2 linked regions of the Caenorhabditis elegans genome follow. The protein of the gene in region 1 purifies or fractionates together with the protein of each later gene. This does not show direct contact. Each region holds a gene or a part of one and is shown in the gene's direction. Other genes may lie near its edges. The genes, in order: fask-1 and Y54E10A.6.

Evidence for each region.
Region 2: the proteins of fask-1 (region 1) and Y54E10A.6 fractionate together in Caenorhabditis elegans (co-fractionation; one large-scale study listed by BioGRID). This does not show direct contact.

Annotation. Positions count from the first base shown.
Region 1 is NC_003282.8:13,098,809-13,107,591, forward strand, and holds fask-1 (RAP domain-containing protein), read left to right. Parts: upstream 1-1,906; 5' UTR 1,907-1,907; coding exon 1,908-2,004; intron 2,005-2,441; coding exon 2,442-2,527; intron 2,528-2,573; coding exon 2,574-2,820; intron 2,821-3,416; coding exon 3,417-3,546; intron 3,547-3,597; coding exon 3,598-4,281; intron 4,282-5,037; coding exon 5,038-5,344; intron 5,345-5,398; coding exon 5,399-5,485; intron 5,486-5,533; coding exon 5,534-5,707; 3' UTR 5,708-5,819; downstream 5,820-8,783. Other genes in the region: tin-9.2 (Mitochondrial import inner membrane translocase subunit Tim10B), read left to right, coding at 235-261, 315-429, 479-665, 716-722; exos-4.1 (Putative exosome complex component RRP41), read left to right, coding at 719-850, 907-1,317, 1,532-1,711; rde-11 (RNA interference defective protein 11), read left to right, coding at 6,532-6,660, 6,714-6,820, 6,872-6,982, 7,035-7,140, 7,196-7,406, 7,466-7,568, 7,617-7,800.
Region 2 is NC_003279.8:3,158,764-3,170,541, forward strand, and holds Y54E10A.6 (B3/B4 tRNA-binding domain-containing protein), read left to right. Parts: upstream 1-4,924; 5' UTR 4,925-4,928; coding exon 4,929-5,057; intron 5,058-5,193; coding exon 5,194-5,326; intron 5,327-5,827; coding exon 5,828-6,654; intron 6,655-7,345; coding exon 7,346-7,567; intron 7,568-8,457; coding exon 8,458-8,670; 3' UTR 8,671-9,294; downstream 9,295-11,778. Other genes in the region: vbh-1 (RNA helicase), read right to left, coding at 1,001-1,104, 1,160-1,344, 1,392-2,452, 2,521-2,833, 2,880-2,930, 2,976-3,026, 3,155-3,372; mrpl-17 (Large ribosomal subunit protein bL17m), read left to right, coding at 4,053-4,259, 4,321-4,422, 4,475-4,750; dnc-6 (Dynactin subunit 6), read left to right, coding at 9,449-9,462, 10,332-10,505, 11,243-11,489.

The DNA of each region.
Region 1 (8,783 bases):
GCGTCTCCGCGACAAGTACACTCTCTATGCTTCGTGGAAAGATATTGAAATCATGAAAAGCGCTGCGCCTTTAAACTTCCGCAAACACCGTGACGGTAAAATACACAGAAACTTTTTGTTTTTTTTGTTGCATTTTGCATGCAAATTTTTTCTCTTTATTTAATTTTTTACTCATTTTCTTAACTTCAAATTTCAGATTATTCTCATTTCGGGGCGTTGACTGTTTTATGCTTTATGAATACTATTCAAAATATTCAACAGGTGCTCAGAAAAAAGGAAAATCCTCTCCCGCGCATTTATGTCTTTAATTTCAGCTTCGTGAATTTCTAACCGTCTACAACACTCTCAGCGAACGTTGTTTCAACGCCTGCGCTCGTGACTACACCACATCAACACTCACAAAGGACGAAGGGTCCTGTGTCAGTCAATGTAAGATTTATTGTATTGTATAAACACGATTTTGTAATCAAAATTTCAGGTATTGACAAGCAGATGCTAGTGAACCGTCGGTTTATGCTAGTATTCGCAGAACAAGCACCAAAAGCACTTTTCAAGCAAGGAGAGCAATCGCCAACCGAAGCAATCAAATCCGCTAAGCCAGAGCCAGCGGTCCCAGCTCCAGAAGCCACTCCTGTTGAAACTACTCCAGTTATTGAAGAAAATAAGTGAGATTTTCCATAATTTCTTTTAAAAAATCACGAATAATCTTTTGCAGACAATGAACATCATCTCTGAACATGGTTTCCGTATTGACGGCCGCCGTCCCGCTCAGATTCGTAACATTAACACTCGTCTTGGCTTGAACAGAAATGCGGAGGGAAGCTGTTATCTGGAACATGGTAATACCAAGGTTGGTTTTTTTTTAAGTTTTGAATTTAATTTCAAGTTACATTATTCTCTTTTCAGGTTCTTTGTGCAGTTTATGGTCCGTATGAAGGCAAATCGTCAAAAAGAATCGAAGATAAATGTGCCATTGTTTGTCAGTATAGTGCAACAAAGTTTTCGGGACTTGAAAGAAAAAATCGTACACGTGGAGATCGAAAATCAACTGAAATCAGCAGACTTCTTGAGAAAGCATTCGAATCAGTTATTCTGACGGAAGCATTTCCTCGATCACAACTTGATATTTTCTGTGAAGTAATCCAAGGAGACGGCTCCAACCTGGCCGCCTGTGTCAATGCAACTTCTTTGGCTCTTGCTGATGCAGGAATCCCAATGAAAGGCATCGCATCTGCAGCGACGTGTGGTGTTGTCGATGGAAAACCAATTGTTGATCTTACTTCTAGAGAAGAAACTGATCTCCTTCCCAGAGTTACTGTATGTTTAGGCTGAAAAATTGTCTAATTTAATGAATTTTGTAATGAGACTTCTCAAAAATTGCCGTAATTTCAATATTCCGGGAACCGAAATCATATTTTGGTTGCTATTCTAAAAAAAAAAATGTCCAAAATTTTAAGTTATTTTCCGAAAAATCGGGAAAAAACACAAACTTTCGATTTTTCGTTAAAAAATAATTGCTTAAAATTTTCAGCTCGCCACAATCTGCGGTCGTGACGAAGTGATTCTCGTGGAACTTCAAAATCGTCTTCACATTGATCATCTTTCCACAGTCATGGATGCAGCGAAAGCCACGTGTGCTGACGTGTACGAATGTCTCGCAGTAGTTGCTCAGCAACATCTGAAAGCTTGTGCTCCGATTCTAGGCAATTAGCTGTTCTTTTTTTCTTATTCATTGTTGTTTTGAGTTGTTATTCCTTTTTTTTTAAACCCATTTTTTGCAGTCGATAAATCAGTTTTTTCAAATTTAATCTTAGAAATTTTGTAAAATTTTATATGTTTCCGTCTCATTTTCGTACTTTTCTTGTTCAAATCTTGATATTTTTTTAAAAAAATTGCAAATATCTAGAATGTGGAGCCGTGGATTACCCACGCTTTGCAGGACGATTCCGTGTCGTCAGTTTTCCGTCGCAGCTCAAAGTGGAGCTGGTCCTGCAGAAATTGATGGTAGGTGCAGATTTTTTTTGCTCTAAATGGCCAGAATTTTATTAAAATTGTCAAAAAAATTTCAAAAAATAGCTAATTTCCGCTAGAATCTCCAACTTGACCAACTTTAGAGCGGCCGGAAAATAATTTTAATTCGATTATTGTGCTACTTTGGTTTATTTTACGTTATTTCGTAAATTTAGGGTAATTTTAAGCAAATTTGGCTTTAAATGTACCAATTTTTACGAAAAAACATGTGATAAATGACCAAAATAAGACAAAAATTTAATAAAAGGGAAATTTGGCAAAATATTTGAAAAATTTTGCGAAATGTGAGATTTTAGCTAAAATCAAGTGTTTTTCGACATTTTTGAAGTTTCGCAATAAGCTTTTCGGGTTATTTTTAGTAAAAAAAAGTAGAATAATGCAAAAAACATCAAAAAATATTTGAATTCCAGATTTCCTCCATTCCATCGCCGCTGCTCCAACACAGAAGCTCGTGAAAAACAGAACTGTATTAGAAACTTCGACGGAATTTTTCAAGGTACTCAATAAGCTTAAGCTCCATTTAAATTGTTCAATTATTTAAGTGGCTCGAACAAAATCCCATAAAATCGATTGATCAATTCATCACAGCTGCACAAATGGCTATCACTGTGAAATCAACGGAACAAAATAAGGCGTTTTCGAAAATTGATGATATTGCGAAGAAAGTTCTGCCGAAATTCTATGAAAATTTTGGACCGAAGGAGACAGTGGATGCATTGCGATTTGTTTTGCAGCTGAATTCAAAGGGAAAAGTCTCGACGGATATTCAGAATTTGTTCCTTGAAAAAAGTATGATTTATCCAACAAAACTACTTATTTGAATATGATAATTCTACTTTTTTGATCTAAAATTGATTTTAAAAAATGTAGAAAAAGATTCGCTCCATCTGAAAATAATTTTTAGTTTTGTTGAAAATGAAAAATTGGAAATTTTGTTAGTTTTTTGATAATATAATGTTTAATTGACTTAAAAACACATTTTCATTTAAAAAAAATTCGGCAAAAATCGACGAAAATTAAGGAAACTCGTTGAAAACAGAAATCAGCATCTGATAAAGATTAAAATTCTCGTAAATCGACACATGGCTCGTCTCTGGCGCGAAAATTCGGCGTTTGAAAAATCTCATTTGGACGCAAGTGAAAGGAGAAAATTTGGAGTGATTCAAAAATATTTTTCTCAGATTTCGGTGCTCAACCTAAAGGTAGAGGTGAGGCCTAGTGGCCTTATTTAAATTTTTCAACAAAAAAAATTATTAATAATATTTTATCAGATGGAACGAATCCTTTTCATCAATTTTAGAAAAAAAAAAGTTGATTTTCAGTAGTATTGTGCGTTTTCCTAAACATTTTCCGAAAGATATTTCAAATAAAACGTAAAATTTCAGAAATAAGTCAATCCGATCTACAAACTGTTCCATTTGACACACTTGTGATGATCATTCGATATTCAAAATCTTCAATCGATCAAAATGTTATCGAATCTATTGCGACTTCATTGATTTCTAGAATCGAAAAGTAATTAAATAATTTAGATTTAAAAGCTCTATTTAATATCTAATTTTCCAGAGAACTGGCAAATCCTGCAGATCTCCTAGCAATTCTCGCCGGTGATGGATACGAAAAATCAAAATGGTTTCACAACGAAGCGTTCCTCAAAAAAGCCGAACGACTTGTAGCAGTAATGGGAATGGCTGAAAAATGTGCTCTTTTGAAGCATATGGCAGTGAATAAGCAAAGAAATCGACAGCTACTTGGAGCAATAATCAACGCGATTTCCAGTTCCAGTCAAGTTCTTACAGTATCACAAATTGTCAGTGTCACCGGCTCATGTTCTGCTCTCACCTATTATCCACCAAAAATTGCACGGAAAATCTCCAACGACCTCGAGAAAAATTCGAATGTTCTTGCTCAATGGGATGATGTGCTCAGCATTGCCGATTCATTTATTCGTATGAGAATGGGTGATCAAAAGTCATGGAATCTTCTTGTTCGATGGGCAATTGAAAATGTGAAGCAAGCACATCCGGCTCGATTGAGCAAATTTGTCTCCGGGCTCGCTAGAATTGGAGAACCATCTGGAAAACCGTTGGCAAAAGCGCTCAAACCATTTTTGGTGAAGGAAAAAGCTTCGACGCCCAACAATTGGCTGAATATCGTCTTTTCTCTTGCATATTTTCAAGAACTTGAAGCAGTTCATGCGGATTCGGTGCTCAATAAGAGTTTTGTAGATCAAATCATGAATTCAACAATGTAAGAAATTATTTGGAAATTGAAGAGGTGCAAACGCGCTCCAAATTAAAACACTCCGCAACTAAACGTTGGGTCTCGTTAGGTTTTCGGTTTTCCGATTTTTCCGAAAATTCAAAAATCAAAAATTTAGTTTTGCGACATTCCTAAACAAATTCGATTTTTTCGAAAATTGCTTAAAAATTTAGGATTTTTTTTTGAAGACAATGATTTTGATTTTTTTTCAAAATGAGCAAACAAATAAATTTTTATTATTAATTTTCGAAACATTTTCTAAAGATTTTTCGAAAACTCCGGAAAATCGATATGAATTTTATCTCAATTTCGACATTAAAATTATTAGAAAAAAAGTTTTTAAAAATTTTTTAAGTTAAAAGAAAAATATTTTTAAAAATCACAATATAAATTTAAAATGCTGGGAAACACGAAAAAAATGCCAATTTTTTTTTGCTTTTTCGGTTTTTGCTAGGGAAAACTAAAAATAGTCGATTTTGCAGAAACTCGAAAAAAATGCTGAAAATTTACCAAAAAATTCAAATTTTGTTTATGATGATGAAAAAACAACATATAATTTTTCCAAAAAAAGGCCAAAATGTGGTTTTTTTTCTCCAATTTTAGTTTTAAAAGTTGAAAAACTGACTTCCTTATTGTCAATACCTAACGAGACCCAAGGTTTAAGGGCGGAGTGTTTTCAAAAGGCATTTTTCTGCATCCCCATTTATAATATCAAAAATTGTCAATAATTTCCCAATTTTTCAGGGAAATTCACGATCGACTCCGAAAAGCGATGACTCTTCTAATGATCAGTTCAGCGGCTAAAGTTGATATGCAGGGAAAATACGAAGGACCAACAGTGAATAAGGAAACATTTGCTCGATTTGGAATCAATTTCGACGCGAAAACGATTCGGAACGCGAGGCAACTGAAATATTCGAGCAATCATTCAGAATGCGATCGATATTTTTTAAAGTCATTATTCAAACTTGCTCCACAAGATACTCATTGTCAACTTCCGAATGTTGAAGATTGTGGAGCTTTTGTCGATGCCTATGTTATGCCAGATCCGGTATATTATTTTCAATTAAAAAATATTTTTGAAAAAAAATGTTTTTTTTTTCAGAATTCCAACTTGCTAGTGAACACATCACAATGGGGCTCGAAAAAACCCAGGCCTCTATTTTTCTACGGATGGTTGCAAACTAAACAGGTAAGCATTTTCGAATCTCATAAAATCATATAAAATTCTAAATTTCAGAACACAGAAACGAGCGGCGAAATCAATACAGTTGGGCAAGAACAATTGGGACTTCGACTGATGCGTTCCGCTGGCTTCGATCCAGTAGTCGTCTTCAAAACGGAACTCGACTATTGCTCCACAGAAATTGATCAAGTGAATCTGCTACGGGATAAAATACATAAGAAGAATTAATTTTTTTGATAAAAGATTATATTTCTAGCGCCCCTAGTCTTTATTGTTTTGTTGTTATTCATTTTTATTCAATATTTTTTAGATTTGAGATTATAATAAAACAAATTTATAAAGGTTTCGATGAAATTTTAGAATTTTCTGTGAACTGTCTTTTGAACAGAATATGAATATTTTTGCGGGAATTTATTGTTTATTGATCAAATTTTATTTGTCTTTCCTGTTGGTTTTTTCTTCTATTTTTTCTTTTCTCTTGGGTGGCAATTTTCAGGTTTCAATTACAAATTTAAATAGTCTTATATTTAAGATCTTATCACGTGGTGTCAGAGTGTCTCATTTCGGTTTGATCTACATTGATCTACAAAAAATGCGGGAAAAGAGACGCAGAGTTCTCAACTTATTTTGGATGGTTAAGAACGTGCTGACGTCACTTTTTTTTCTGGCAAAAAATTCCCGCATTTTTTGTAGATCAAACCGTGATGGGACAGCCTGGCGTGATTATACGTGATTATATTTATACTTTTTTTTGTGACAATTTGATCTTGACCTCTGGAGGTCTCTACAAACGGTTTTGTCCACTTTCTAAAAGAAAAAACCGGGGAAAAACTAAAATTAAAAATTCACGCGCGTGACCCAATTTCGAGTGACATTCCGGCCCTGATCATTTCTTCTCTGATCATCTTTCTAAAATTCATTAAATTCATTAGTTTCTACATTTTAGTTCCTGAAAACTTGCTTCATTTCTTTTTCCAATCAACCAATAGGTCTCTTTTTTTTTAATTTTTCGATAATTTAAATTAATTTAATTACAGCAGAAATTTCAGAACATGAATGTTATCACTCCACCGTTTGCTGATGGCGTGGATCCAAAGCCCGTATGTATTGTCGCTGATGACATTTTCGAGACGATGACCGCCAGACGAAAAATCCATTTTTCAATTTACGTGATTTTTAAGGTAATTTTCGCCTTTTAATAGTTTCGATTTCGATATCAATTTCAAGAATTTAGAAAAACGTCGAGCTTGCTGAGCCATTTAAGCTCCTATACTACACAGAAAAGAAAAATGTTGCACATCTTGATGGATCCGTTGCACAGGATTTCGGACTCCCTATGTGGTGAGTTTTGGCGGAAGTGTGGAAGTGTTAACAATAGAATGTCTATTACAGGACAAAAGACGATGGACAGAGGGCGCCGGACCTTTCTCGACAAAAAAACGACTATATAAAACTGGATTTTTTCACAAATATCAATAATCCTGAAGATGGGTTTTCGTATTGGTAGGCGCCTGTTAATTTAAAAATGTCTAGTTTAAAATTCATTTTTCTTCAGCTGGACGGACTGTATCTCTACAAAAAACACGACGATGGTACCAAGACAACTAATGCCACCATCGAAACGATCAATGAAACTTTACCTGATTCTCCCGGTGGAAGAGGTGAGATCTAAGATCCCACAAATGCTTGATTAATAAAATTTGTATTTTTTTCCAGTCAAATATCATGGTGCTATCTGAGAAGGCATACGGATCACTCCAGCTCATGAAGAAACATCGGAAAATGGGCCAGCCACCTCAACGAGTCGGGTGCTACATTAACTTTAATTGCCAAACATCGAAAGTCATGTTCGGGTGTGGACACGTCTATTGTGAGCAATGCTTGAATTCTTGGAATGATAAACCCTGCTCCGTGTGCTTGAAACCGGGTTAGTAAAGAAGATTTTAGCAAATATATATATATATATATATTGCCTTGAAATTTCAGTAACTAGTGAACCAACTCAGCTCAAACTGCGGCAAGGTCCGTGTCCTTTCGATTTGTGCAGTCCAAACAGCAGTACTATGGGAATCGTTCTAATTCCATGCGGGTGAGAAAAAACTATAACGTTTTTAAAGAAATTAATATTGATATTCAGATGTCATGTGATGTGCCAAAATCTGGAGGATGCGTACGAACGAAACAAACACCACCTTGAACCACTTATAGAAAAAATCAAGTATTGTCCTTTCGAGCCCTGCAGGATCCGTGTCCGTAAACTCAAAAAGCCCTTCTGGCACCAACAAGACAAAGAGCACACTTTGGAAATGAACTCGGCCTAATTTTATAAATAAATCATGTACTGTAATTATTTTATTAATTAATACGACTTTTGGAATTTCAAAGAAGCTTTTTACCCTTTTTGTCAACACCAGACTACTTTTGTGATACTTTTTCATGTAAAATAACCACCCAAAAAAGTTTTTTCCCAACTCAAAAACCATCATTTTCCGATTTCAACCCACTGCTCCACGTGTCAAGTTTTGTCAATAATTGCCTTGTTTTAATAATTGTATTTTCCCCACAATTTCAAAATTGCTTTTTCTTCGCCACAATTCAATTGGTACTGATTTTTAATAAATGTTTCGGTTAGAAATTCATAATTGCTCGTATTTCACATCCAGTGTGTAGATTTTACCTCAGTTTTATATTTTATATGTTTTCAGAAACAAAATTGCCACAAATTTGACGCTCAAAATATCTCGTACCGAAAACTACAGTAATTCTTTAAATGACTACTGTAGCGCTGGTGTCGATTTACGGGATCTCGATTTTCGAAATAAATTGAAAATCATTTATTTATCGATAGAATATTAAAATTATGAGAAAAATGAGAAAATGATACGAAAAAAACTATTCGAAAAGAAATTCATTTCAAAAATCGAGCCGTCACAAAAAATCCAAAAAAATGGAATATCGTTGATCGAGCCCGTAAATCGGCACCCGCGCTACAGTAGTCATTTAAAGGGTTACTGTAGTTTTCGCTACGGGATATTTTGCGCGTCAAATATGTTGTGCAATACGCATTCTCAGAGTTTTATGTTCCCGTAATACATAAAGGCGCAATTTTTTATTGACATGGGTCTCACCACGAAAAATTGTTACTATTTGTAGAAACACTTTGGCTTTCGGTGCGCCCCCTTTTTATTTTTTGAAATACCATAAAATCTGGGGAAATTGGATAAAAACACAGAAATTTGAAAAATTCATTATAAAGTTCGCGGCGAGACCCATACAAACTAATCCGTGCGCCTTTAAATACAAG
Region 2 (11,778 bases), on another chromosome or scaffold:
TTCAACGGCTTAGACCGGCCTAGAAAATGTTTGGAATTAGCTATTGACGAGACGCATATGATAGTGCAACTTGAGTATTATGAAATGGTTGGTTCTATGATTTTCGTGTATACTGTTTAGAGGGAGAAAAAACAACTAACAATGAATATTACTTGGCTCAAAAAAAACATCAGTTGGAGGGAAAAATGATAGAGATTTGGGGATAGGTGGGGGGAGATCATTATCATAAGAGAGCAACCAAGCTTTTTATACCTAACTCGCAATTATTTAATGATAAACTGACGATCATACTGGCGAACAATTATGAAAATATAATTAGACACCCGCAGCTATACCAAGTTAAGAATTGAATAATTGCAAGACGAATGGTTGGGATCAGATTGGGGAACAAGTAAAAATTAATTAAAAATACACACAATATCACGAATCAACAACGGGCAGCACTATGTAAACGGGTTTCAACAAAGCTTACAAACAACCGATAATAGAGAAAAACCGTGCTGAGTCCCCGACGCGGTAGTGCATCGGATGCCATCCAGCGGCCATAAGAAAAACTACAAAACTACGAGATAAAACTGCATTGATTCTCTCGGGGTATTGTTGATGCAAGAAAACAACACCAAGAGAAACAAAACAATGGTACAAATTGCCAGGCAACAACAACATTTTTGGGGGAAATGGGAGGATACAATAAAATTCAATGTTAAAACCCTAGATCACGCATAGAATCCATTAAAATATTCGTCACTTAAAGCTCTGAGATAAAAAAAATTGAATGATTAAAACACAATTACAGAGAGAATAATATGAAATAAAAGAGAGGAATAAGCCACGCTTTAAAGAAGGAGACAGAATAAAAAAGAGAAGGAGGAAAAAATGATTATTTTAATATGGATGGAACGAGTAAAGGAAAAAAGGAAGACAACTAAATTATAAAAAAAGGAGTATGGTGCGAGACTTTAATGTGGAATTCCGGATTTCCGTTTGTTGCGAATAATGTTTAAGCTTGTGGAGCTTGCCAATGATCAATTGGAGCCTGGCCTGGGTTTGAGTAAAAACCTCCACCGCCACCACCCTGACGGTTCATTCCACTGTTGAAGCCACCTGAAATCAAGGAATTGATTAATTTTGCATTATTTTCTTTATTTTCTCCACAAACCTCTTCTTGGGCCACTGAAGCCGCCACCGCCACCACTATTAGAGGTAGACGACAGAGAGCTATGAGCTCCGAATCCTCCATTCGTGAACGGGCGACGTGGTGCTCCTCCTCCGAACGAACCACCGTAGGCGGGTCCACTTCCGAAACCACCAGTGGCTCCACCGGAATTGTAATTTGAGAAGTTTCTGAAACTATTAGCAATATTAATTTTCAACTGCTCATTTGATCTTACCCTCCGAACGATCCACCACCACCACGACCAACACGATAGTCGGTTGCTCCGAAGCGACGGTTTCCACCACGTTGTCCACCTCCAATGCGTCCTTCTGCAGCAACTTGATGAAGCCATTCTGGGACTTCTTGGTTGGATTCGACAATCAGATTCTTCAAATCACGACCGATTCCTCGATTCTTGTCATTGAAGAAACTGGTGGCAATTCCAAGGTTTCCGCATCTTCCGGTTCTACCGATACGGTGAACATATTCGTCAGAATCTCCAGGAAGATCATAATTGATGACGTGGCGCACATTTGGAATATCCAATCCACGAGCGGCAACAGCAGTTGCGACAAGAATTGGGCACTGTCCAGAGCGGAACAACTCGAGATTTCTCTCACGTTCAATTTGTTTGAGATCTCCGTGAATTGAAACAGAGCGGATCTGCTGACGATTGAGGAAATACGCCAACTCGTTGGCTCCTCTCTTTGTCTCAACGAATACGAGAACCAGATTTTCAGAATGCTCGTTCATCAGAATTTCCATCAGATTGCTTCTCTTTTCCATCTCGTTGACCCAAAGCAGACGTTGTTCAATATTTTCAGACGTTGATCCAACACGACCAACTGCCAAAAAGATATAGTTATCCTTGAGGAAGTCCTTAGCGAGAACTTGAATCTCCTTCGGGAAGGTTGCACTGAACATAGCTGTGGTACGAGCAGTCTTTGGTGGCATTCCTTGGCCAACGATCTTTCTGATTTGCGGCTCAAATCCCATGTCAAGCATACGATCAGCTTCGTCGAGAACCAGGTAACGACATCCGGCGAGTCCAATGAATCCTTGCTCAATAATGTCAATCAAACGACCTGGGGTAGCAATGAGGATATGCGTTCCAGCGCGAAGACGATTCACTTGATCACGATAGTTTTCACGTCCTCCGTAAAGAATAGCCGTCTGGATGTTGCTTTTGTAGCTGAACTTTGTAGCTTCCTTGTGGATTTGAATGGCAAGTTCACGAGTCGGCGAGAGAACCAGAGCACATGGATAGTAAGTGCGACGACCGTTTGTGAACGCTGGCTGCAATTAAAATAGTTTTTTGTATAAATTTTTCGAATTTTGATGGATCGCAGGTTTGCCCTACTTACCGGCTTGACCATATCTGGACCACCAGCCAAAATATGCTGAATAATTGGGAGCAGGAAAGCGGCAGTTTTTCCAGATCCGGTTTGAGCGCAAGACATCAGATCGCGGTTAGCCAAAAGAGTTGGGATCGAGTGTTTCTGGACAGGAGTCGGCTTGGAGTATCCGCTGCGATTCACGTTCTCCATCACAGCCGGCCCAAAACCAGCTTCATTGAAATGCTCGATGGCTGCTGGAACGGAGTCTCCGCTGACTTCTACGGGAATATTTTCGTACTTGTCAAAGTTGATGCCACTGTCGGTACGGTGGAACAAATTGCTGAAATACCATATCGCGTTTAATAATCAGAACATTTTAATCTCACCTTTCGGAATATTCGGCAGGTGCTCCTCCCCATTGATTACTCTCGGCTCCACTGTAACGTCTACTAATAAAAATTGTAATTCAGATTTAAACATACTTGTTGTTGAAACCGTTTCCGCTGTCGGCGAAGTTGTTGTACCCAGACGATCTGCAATTTCAAGATTTGATAAAAGAGAAGCCTCATTTCAGGTTAACAAAAAGCAACAAAGGAAATGAAGAACAAGCATATGGTTAGAGGCAAACACAATCACCAGCACACTATACACCTGTTCTCACCCATTCTCATCGAAGTTTTCAAAGTTTTCTGAGTAGCCCATTTTGAAATGCTGCTGCTGTTGTGGCTGCCCTTGAAAGTAAGGAGAAGGAACAAATCCAGCATGAGGAGCACCCATCATCTGCCCCATCCCTGGGACCATAGGTTGTTGAATTGCATACCCGTTGTTTGACGGAGTTCCGTTGGCGAATCCGTTGTAAAATACGCCTCCTGCAGGCATATTATTGCTCTGTTGAGAATACGAGGATGACCAGCTGAAAAAATGAGGTTGAAATCTTGAAATCCGTTTCGAAATCATACCCTTGTCCCTGTTGTTGTTGTGGCGGCTGTTGTTGACCGTTGTGATTCGCATAATATTGTGTGTTCATTGTAAGACTATATCAAACGGAAACCCGGAATTCGAAAAAGAAAAATCGGCGAATCTAAACCGATTTTGTACCCAATTGACGTCGAGATTACAGAATATGTATCTGAAATTCATTTTATTGGCTTGTTGCGAAACAAATGAAGTTTTAAGACGGAGAAAATGAGTATTTATCATTAATAAACGACGAATTATCATTTTTCGCATAATTTAACTCGAAAATTATGCGAAAAACGATGACAATGGAGAAAATCGACACGAAAAACCGTAGAGAAGAAGCGGAAATGAGAGAAGTGAATTCAGCACGCAATGATGAAGAGACGTTTGTTTTCCCATCGAGACCCGCCGACCGTGTAAATCGGTGCGCCTTTAAAGTGCGTGTGTGAGGAAGCGTGTTTCAACGCAAAAAACGCTCCGAAATTTCGCGAAATAGAATTAAATTTAATTTTTATTAGAATTTCTATTGAAATATATGGGATTTTATTCAATTTTTTGAATTTCCGACTCAAAATTAATAAAAAAAAGATTTCCAGGCAATGTCAGCTCACCGAGTGGCAGTGTCACTGCCAAGAATCGGCGTCACAATTGGTCACGCACCACAAAAGCTGAAAACCGGAGGAATTGAGCCAAGCCGTCGTGCTCGTCTCGAAGTGCTCCGTCGCATCGTCACCCGAACTGTCCGTGAGGAACGCGCCGAGCTGAAATGGAACCGCGCCGTCGAGGCCAGGCCATATTTGGAGAGGGTGAGGGGTTTTTTGTTTGAAAATGAGTGAGAAAATTAAAATTTAAAAAAATAAAATTCAGCTAATTCAATTGGGTGTCGAAAGAGGACCACTTGACGAGTATACAGCCGAAATGATGGAATGGTGGCTGCCTGAGAAGGATTTAATTACGAAAATGCATGAAGTAAATTGATTTAAAAAGATTTTTCGCCAAAAAAAAATCATTTTTTTCCCAGGTAATTGTTCCACGATTCCAAGACCGCGATTCTCCATTCACATCACTATTCCGACTTCCACCACAACGTCTTCAACAATTTATCCAGAATAAGCGAGAAGTCTGGAAGCGATACGATATCGGAGTTCTGGAAATCGACGGAAATCCATTTCCACAAATACAAGCAGACCGCGTAGATCAATCTGAATCAATTCTTGATGTTCTTCTAGCTGACGCCCTTCGGAATCACCAGAAGAATCTTCAGGAAAAGCTGGATACTCCGAAGAAATCTCAATGAATTTTTATTATTTTTTTTGTTTTTGTTTCGCTAGAATCCTAGAATTTTTGTTTCTTTATATATTAAACTTTGAATCATTTTCAATATTTATAACGAATTTTGTGGTTCGATTCAATTATTTATATCTTTATCTAATTTTTTTCCCACTTTTTCACCGAAAAAATTAAAATTCAGAATAATGTTCGAAGAGCAACCGGAGGTAATAGAGGCGATCGAGAATAATCGCTTCGAAATTGTCATCAAAAATGTTCGAATCGATTCGGTCACCGAAGCGGCCAATCTTTCCCAGAAACGGGTTTTCGAGAGTGTAAGGGAATTTTAATTTTTGGAAAATCCGTGAATTTCCGCAAAAAAACGATTTTTTTCTCGGAATTTCAAACAAATTTTTTTTTTGTAAATTTTATAATACTAAATTCCCATCAAAACCCAAAATTTATTTTCAGATGTCCCAATTGAATCTCCTTTCTCTCACTGGATGCTCTCTTCACAATCTTTCGTCTTCGATTAGATCTTGCAGTAATCTAATGCATTTGGTTTTGCCGAAAAATGATTTAAAACAGCTTCCAGACGTTTTTGGTGTGTATTTTGTGGATTTTTTTTTGTTTTTTTAGACGGAAATTAGTCGAAATATACCAAATATAACTGTTAAATAGCATATCTTTTCAATTTCGCAACAAAAAATTTGAATTATTTTGAATGACATGATTTCGAAATTAAATGTTTAATTCCGGCAAATTGCCGGTTTGCCGGAAAAAAATAAAATTTTAAATTCTTGCGAATTGCCGATTTGCCGGAAATTTTCTATTTTTTCAAGTATGCCGATTTGCCGGAAAAAATTAAACTTTGAATTCATGCAAATTGCCGATTTGCCGGAAATTTTCAATTTTAATTTCGCGCAAGTTGCCGGTTTGCCGGAAAATTTTTTAAAATTCCGGCAAATTGCCGGTTTGCCGGAAGTTCTTAAAGGGATTTTTTAAAAGATAGTGTGCCTACAATTTAATTTTAGGCAAATTAGGCAAACTGCCAACTTGCCGGTTGCCGATTTGCCAAAACAAATATAACTATGAAAATTTCCAGATTGCTTGCCAAAACTAAAATTCATGGATCTTTCACACAATCATCTGGATGCTCTTCCTGCTTCAATTTCAAAATGTGAAAATCTTGAATCTCTAATTCTCAACAACAACCGCCTCAATGAATCGAGTTTCCCGGATATATCAAATCTCTCGAATCTTCATATTTTCGACGCCGCTCACAACACAATTTCCAAGATTCCTGCGTCTCTCACTTCTCACAATCTTTCTGCAAAACTCCATACGATAATACTCTCTCATAATTCAATTGAAGTGATACCGGATAGTTTGAGCAATTTGAAGCAATTGAAAGAGCTTAAAATTGATGAGAATAAGCTGAAAGATGTTCCGAGTGTGATTGCACACCTTCCCAAGTTGAAGGTTTTGGATATTTCGAAGAATTGCTTCTCGGAGAGCAGATTTCAGAAGCTTGCCAATGATAAGCGTGGGAAGCTTAATGCAGTGATTGCTCTGGCTCAAAAAATTGGAAAACCAATTGGAAATTCTGAAGAGCAGAAGAAAGCTCCTGAATCCGGTTCCCCCGATTTTCCAGTTCCAGACGCCCCACTCACAGTCCGTACTGGAATTGAGAATTTGACAGTTCGTAGGCATCCCAGTGTCTCTGAAATCCGACCATATCTTGTTTGCTGTGTCATCAATAATGTTGATCTCAATGGAGGAGACTCGTTCAAGAAATTCATTGCTCTTCAAACGAAAATGCACGCGTCGGCTCTCTGTGAGAATCGAACTCTTTCGGCTATTGGAACGCATCGGCTCGATTCTTTTCAGCTTCCACTTTGTTATATGGCTCTTCCGAAGGATGAACTATATGTACGATTTAAAAAAGTGAAAATTGAAAAAAAAAACATAAAATTTGAGAGAAATTTCCGATTTTTTTTCAAAGAAAATTGAAAATTTTCAGATTTTTTTCGAAAAATGTTCGAATAAAAAATGTTTGAAATTCGAAAATTTTATACTTTTTTTTCCAGAGAAAACCCACAAATGTTATCTGAAAAAATTGAAAATTTCCGATTTTTTCAGGAAAAATTGAGAAAAAAATGTTTTACATTTTTTAAAATGTTTAAAACTAAAATTTTCGATTTTTTTTCAGAGAAAAAACACTTTTTAAATTGTTTCTGAAAAAATCGAAAATTTCCGTTTTTCCCTGTAAAAATTGAAAAATGTTCGATTTTTTGAAGAGAAATTTAAATTTTCTTTTCTTTTTTTTAAGAGAAAACCGAGAAAATAATACTTTTTTTTGATTTTTTAAACAGCAAAAACAAAAATGTTTCGATTTTCTCAAAAAATTAGGAAAAATGACAAAAGTAAAACTATTTTTAGAAAAATCTTTTTTTAAGCTGAAATTTTGAAAATCAAAAAAAAAACCTGTTAAAACCGGCAATTTTAGCAAAAATTTTTAAAGAAAATTAAAAAAATTTGTTTCAAAAAATTAGCAAAAATGAGCAAAAACTAATTTTTCCCCACTGCTTCCTCATTTTCCAAAAAAAAAAACCATTTCCAGATCCGTGCATTAAACAAAAAATCGAGTGTAAGTGCATCTGAACTGCTGGACAGTCTTCTTCGTGACGCTGAGCTGGCCAGAAAACGGAGCAAGAGAAGTACAGTTGATCCATTGCACAAGTACTTGCATATAGTAAAGGATGAGAATATTCTTGCGTGTCTTGTAGACTCTCAACAAATTGTTATTAGCCTGCCACCGATAACCAACTCGGATTGCACAAAGGTTCATTATTATGGAAAATTTTGAACAGTTTTAGTAAAAATGTTTTTGAAAAATCTTATTTTTTCGAAAATTTGCTTCAAAAATTAAGAAGAAAGAGCTTCATTTTACACATAATTTGTCAATTTTTAGAAAATTTTCCCCGTTGAGGTCAGTTAAAGATTTTTAGCAAACTTAGAAAAATTATGAAACAACGGAAAAAATGAAAAAAAAAAAAAAAAAAACACAGAAAATTTTAACTAATGCGTATTGGGCAATATATTTACCGCGCAAAATATCTCGTAGCGAAAACTACAGTAGTTCTTTAAATGACTACTGTAGGTCGATTTACGGGCTTCGCTTTTTGAAATGAGTTTCAGTTCGAATTGTGGCCTTTTCTAATTTTCGTCCAATTTTTCTTCTTTTTTTTTATATTTTCAACAATTAATTACAAAAAAACGATTCAAAATCGCTTTTCCACTGCTTTTCTTGTTGATTTTTCAATAAAGTTTCAATTTCACTGGTCTTTTTCTCTTTTTTCGAATTGGATAGCATTTTCATTCGAAAAAAAGAAAAACACAAGAAAAACTCAAACTTTATTGAAAAATTAACAAGAAAAACAGTGTAAAGCGATTTTGACTCTTTTTTTGTAATTTATTGATGAAAATTTAAAAAAAAAGAAGAAAAATTGGACGAAAATTAAAACCGCTGCCACAATTCGAACAGAAACTCATTTCAAAAAGCGAAGCCCGTAAATCGACCTACAGTAGTCAATTAAAGAATTACTGTAGTTTTCGCAACGAGATATTTTGCGCGTCAAATATGTTGTGCAATACGCATTTTCTCAGAATTTTGTGATATAGTAATAAAAATTAAAAATTTCTAGTATTTAAAATTGGAAACAAAAATTTCAGCTAACTGTGGATACCACGAGCATCTGGGTAGAAGTATCTTCGAAACAATCACTGGAAGCATGTAAAAAGACAATGGATGAACTGATTCTCTCAAGTCGTCAGATATTCCCAACTCTTTCAATTGATCAAGTCAGAGTTGTCGACAGTGATACACTTGTTTCAATTTATCCCGACAAAAATGACCTTCCAGGAGTCTCCCGGATATCTAATTAAAAATTTGACAAAAAAATAGTCTTAAATTCAGAAAATCCCCGAAAGAAAAATGAAAAATCAGAGTTTTTGACAAAAATGAGCGCTGCGACCAATCAGCGATTTGCTCCGCCCACTTTTTGACCAATCAGGATTTTCGGCGCAATTCTACTGGTTGTTCCAACATTTTTCATTGAAAATTAGTGTCAAAATATGGAAATTTACTATCAAAATGTATAAATCGATCTTTGAATTTTGCAAAAATTTTTGTCGCACAGAAATTGAGGCGGAGCTTGCTTTCGCAACACTGCCGCACGGGCAACAATTTTTGCAAAATTCAAAGATCGATTTATACATTTTGATAGTAAATTTCCATATCTTGACACTAATTTTCAATGAAAAATGTTGGAACAACCAGTAGAATTGCGCCGAAAATCCTGATTGGTTGAAAAGTGGGCGGAGCGAATCGCTGATTGGTCACAGTGCTCAATTTTGCCGAAAAGTCGGTTTTTTTTGGAATTTTTGAGTTTTTTTTTTTTGGATTTTTTTCCTTCCTTTTCACCTAATTATTTTGTTTTTGTTGTTACCATGTTTCTTGTTGTTTCTCCCCGATTTCCCCCGCTGACACTAGAATAAAAGTATCGTTTTTGTCGTGGGAAATGACTATTTCCTGTCTCTCGCTCTCTTTTTTGTCTCCAATTGGTTTTTTTTTGAATATAAAACCATGGAATATTTGTGGCGAGAAATTGTGCAATCTGTCGAGAGAAGTAATGCAATTTTCAGAAAGAAACGGATTTTAGAAATGACTGAAACTAGGTGAGTTGGAAAAAAATTAATTTTTTAAATTTAAAAGTGGAAAATTTTAGATTTTTCTTCAAAACAATTGTTTTTTTTTTGAAAAGTTCCAGAATTTTCTGGAAAACAAATTCTGAAATTTTTTAAAGAATTTCAGGTAAAAATCGAAATTTTTCGATTTTTTTAGAGTGTCTAGTTTTAAAATTGAAATTTCAAATTTTTTTAGAGTGTCTAGTTTTAAAATTGAAATTTCAAATTTTTTTATCTCAAAAAAAAAAATTGGATTTTTTTTAAATTGCAACAGAAATTTCCAGAATTTTCCAGTAAAAAACTTTAGAAAATCTGGAATTCCAAGAAAAGGAACACAGTTTTTTTATTAAAAATTTTTTTTGAAATTCTGGAATTTTTGGAACTTTTAACAAAAAATTAGAAAATCGAATTATTTTTTTTTCATTTTTTTTTAAATTAAAACCAAAAAAGAAAAAAAAAGCTTTTTTTTTCTCGTTAGAAAAGTTTCAAAAAACGTAATTTCTGAAAATTTGTACAATTTTTTTGGAAAATTCGGATTTTTTTGATGTAAAAAAAAATTTCCAGAATTTGTTGAAAAAAAAAGAAAAAAGAGATGTTTTTAGGCATTTCAGAATAAAAAAATCCAAAATTTTCCACTTTCTTGTCAGCAAATCGAAAAAAAATCCAAATTTTTTTTTAGAAAATCGAATTTTGAAATTAAAATTAGAATTTTTTAAAATTAAAAATAATAAAAAATCCAAATTTTCGATTTTTTTTAGAAAATCGAATTTTAAAATTAAAATTTCAATTTTTTAAAAATTAAATCGTTAAAAATCGAAAGAAAAAAAATTAAAAATCGAAAAAAATTGCAATTTTTTCAGCACAGTATCCATCGCCAGTAGTGCAATCGTCTGCGTCGAAGCGGATATAAAAGGAGAAGTTATAATTAAAGAAGGCTGCGTCGTCCATCCATTTGTAGTGTTCGACGCCACAAAAGGCCCAATTTATGTTGGAGAAAATAATATTTTTGAAGAATACGCAGTTATTCGGAATAAGTATGTTCAAAACATATGATACAGGAATCGCCAAATTGCCGGTTTACCGATTTGCCGGAAAAAAACGGCAGTTTGCCGGAATTTTAAATTTAATTTTTCTGGCAATCCGCCAGTTTGCCGGGATTGAACACTTCCTGCAAATTCGATAAATCGGCAATCTGCTGGAATGGAAAATTTCCGGCAAATCAGCAAGTTGCCGGAATTTAAAATTTAATTTTTCCGGCAAACCTACTTGTTGCCGGAATTTAAAATTTCCGGCATGCGGAAAATCGGCAATATGCCGAAAATAACAATTTCCGGCAAACTGGCAATTTGGCGGAATTCAAAATGTAATTTTTCCGGCAAATCGGCAGTTTGCCGGAATTATAAATTTAATTTTTTCCGGCAAACCACCAATTTGCCGGGATTGAAAATTTCCGGCAAAGCTGATATCCGGCATGCGGAAAATCGGCATATTGCCGGAATTGAAATTTCCGGAAAACCGGCAATTTGGCAGAATTTAAAATTTAATTTTTCCGGCAAACCGGCAATTTGCCGAAAATAAAAATTTCCGGCAAATCGGCAAATTGCCGGAATTGAAAATTTACGGCGAACCGACATATTGCCGGAATCGAAATTTGAAATTTCCGGCAAATCGGTAAACCGGCAAGGTTTTTTCCGGCAAATTCGGCAAGAATCTCCATTTCAACAGAAAAATTTTTAGGCAATGTTTGAGAAAAAAAACGATTTTTTTCCAGCAGCGACGGTCAACCAATGATAATCGGTGACTGGAACATCTTTCAAGTCCACTCGAAATCCAGTGCAAAATACGTTGGAAGCCGGAATGTGATTGGTGTGCATGCGGTGCTCGAAGACGGTTGCTCCGTTTCAGATGACTGTAGCGTTGGAGCCAAGTGTACAGTGTTTTCCCATCAAAATCTGGAACCTTCTGTGTCTGTTTATGCAGCCACGAATTTGAGTAGAACGACGAAAACGCCGAATATGGTACGGGAAATGCTGCTTTTTTTTCGCAAAAAGCGGCGCCGCACAGAAATAGAGGCGGAGCTTAATTTTGCAACCATGCGGCACAGTTTTTCTTTCTTTTTTTCACCCATTTCCCACAGTTTTCATGTTTAATTGTTTTTTATATGAAAAAAATTGAATAAAACAGGTAAAATTGGAAATTTTTTGAAATGAAGTGAAAAACAGTGCTGCATGGTTGCGAATTTTCGCTCCGCCTCTTTTTCTGTGCGGCGCCGCTGCTTTTTGTGCAAAATTCACGGATCAAGTGTCA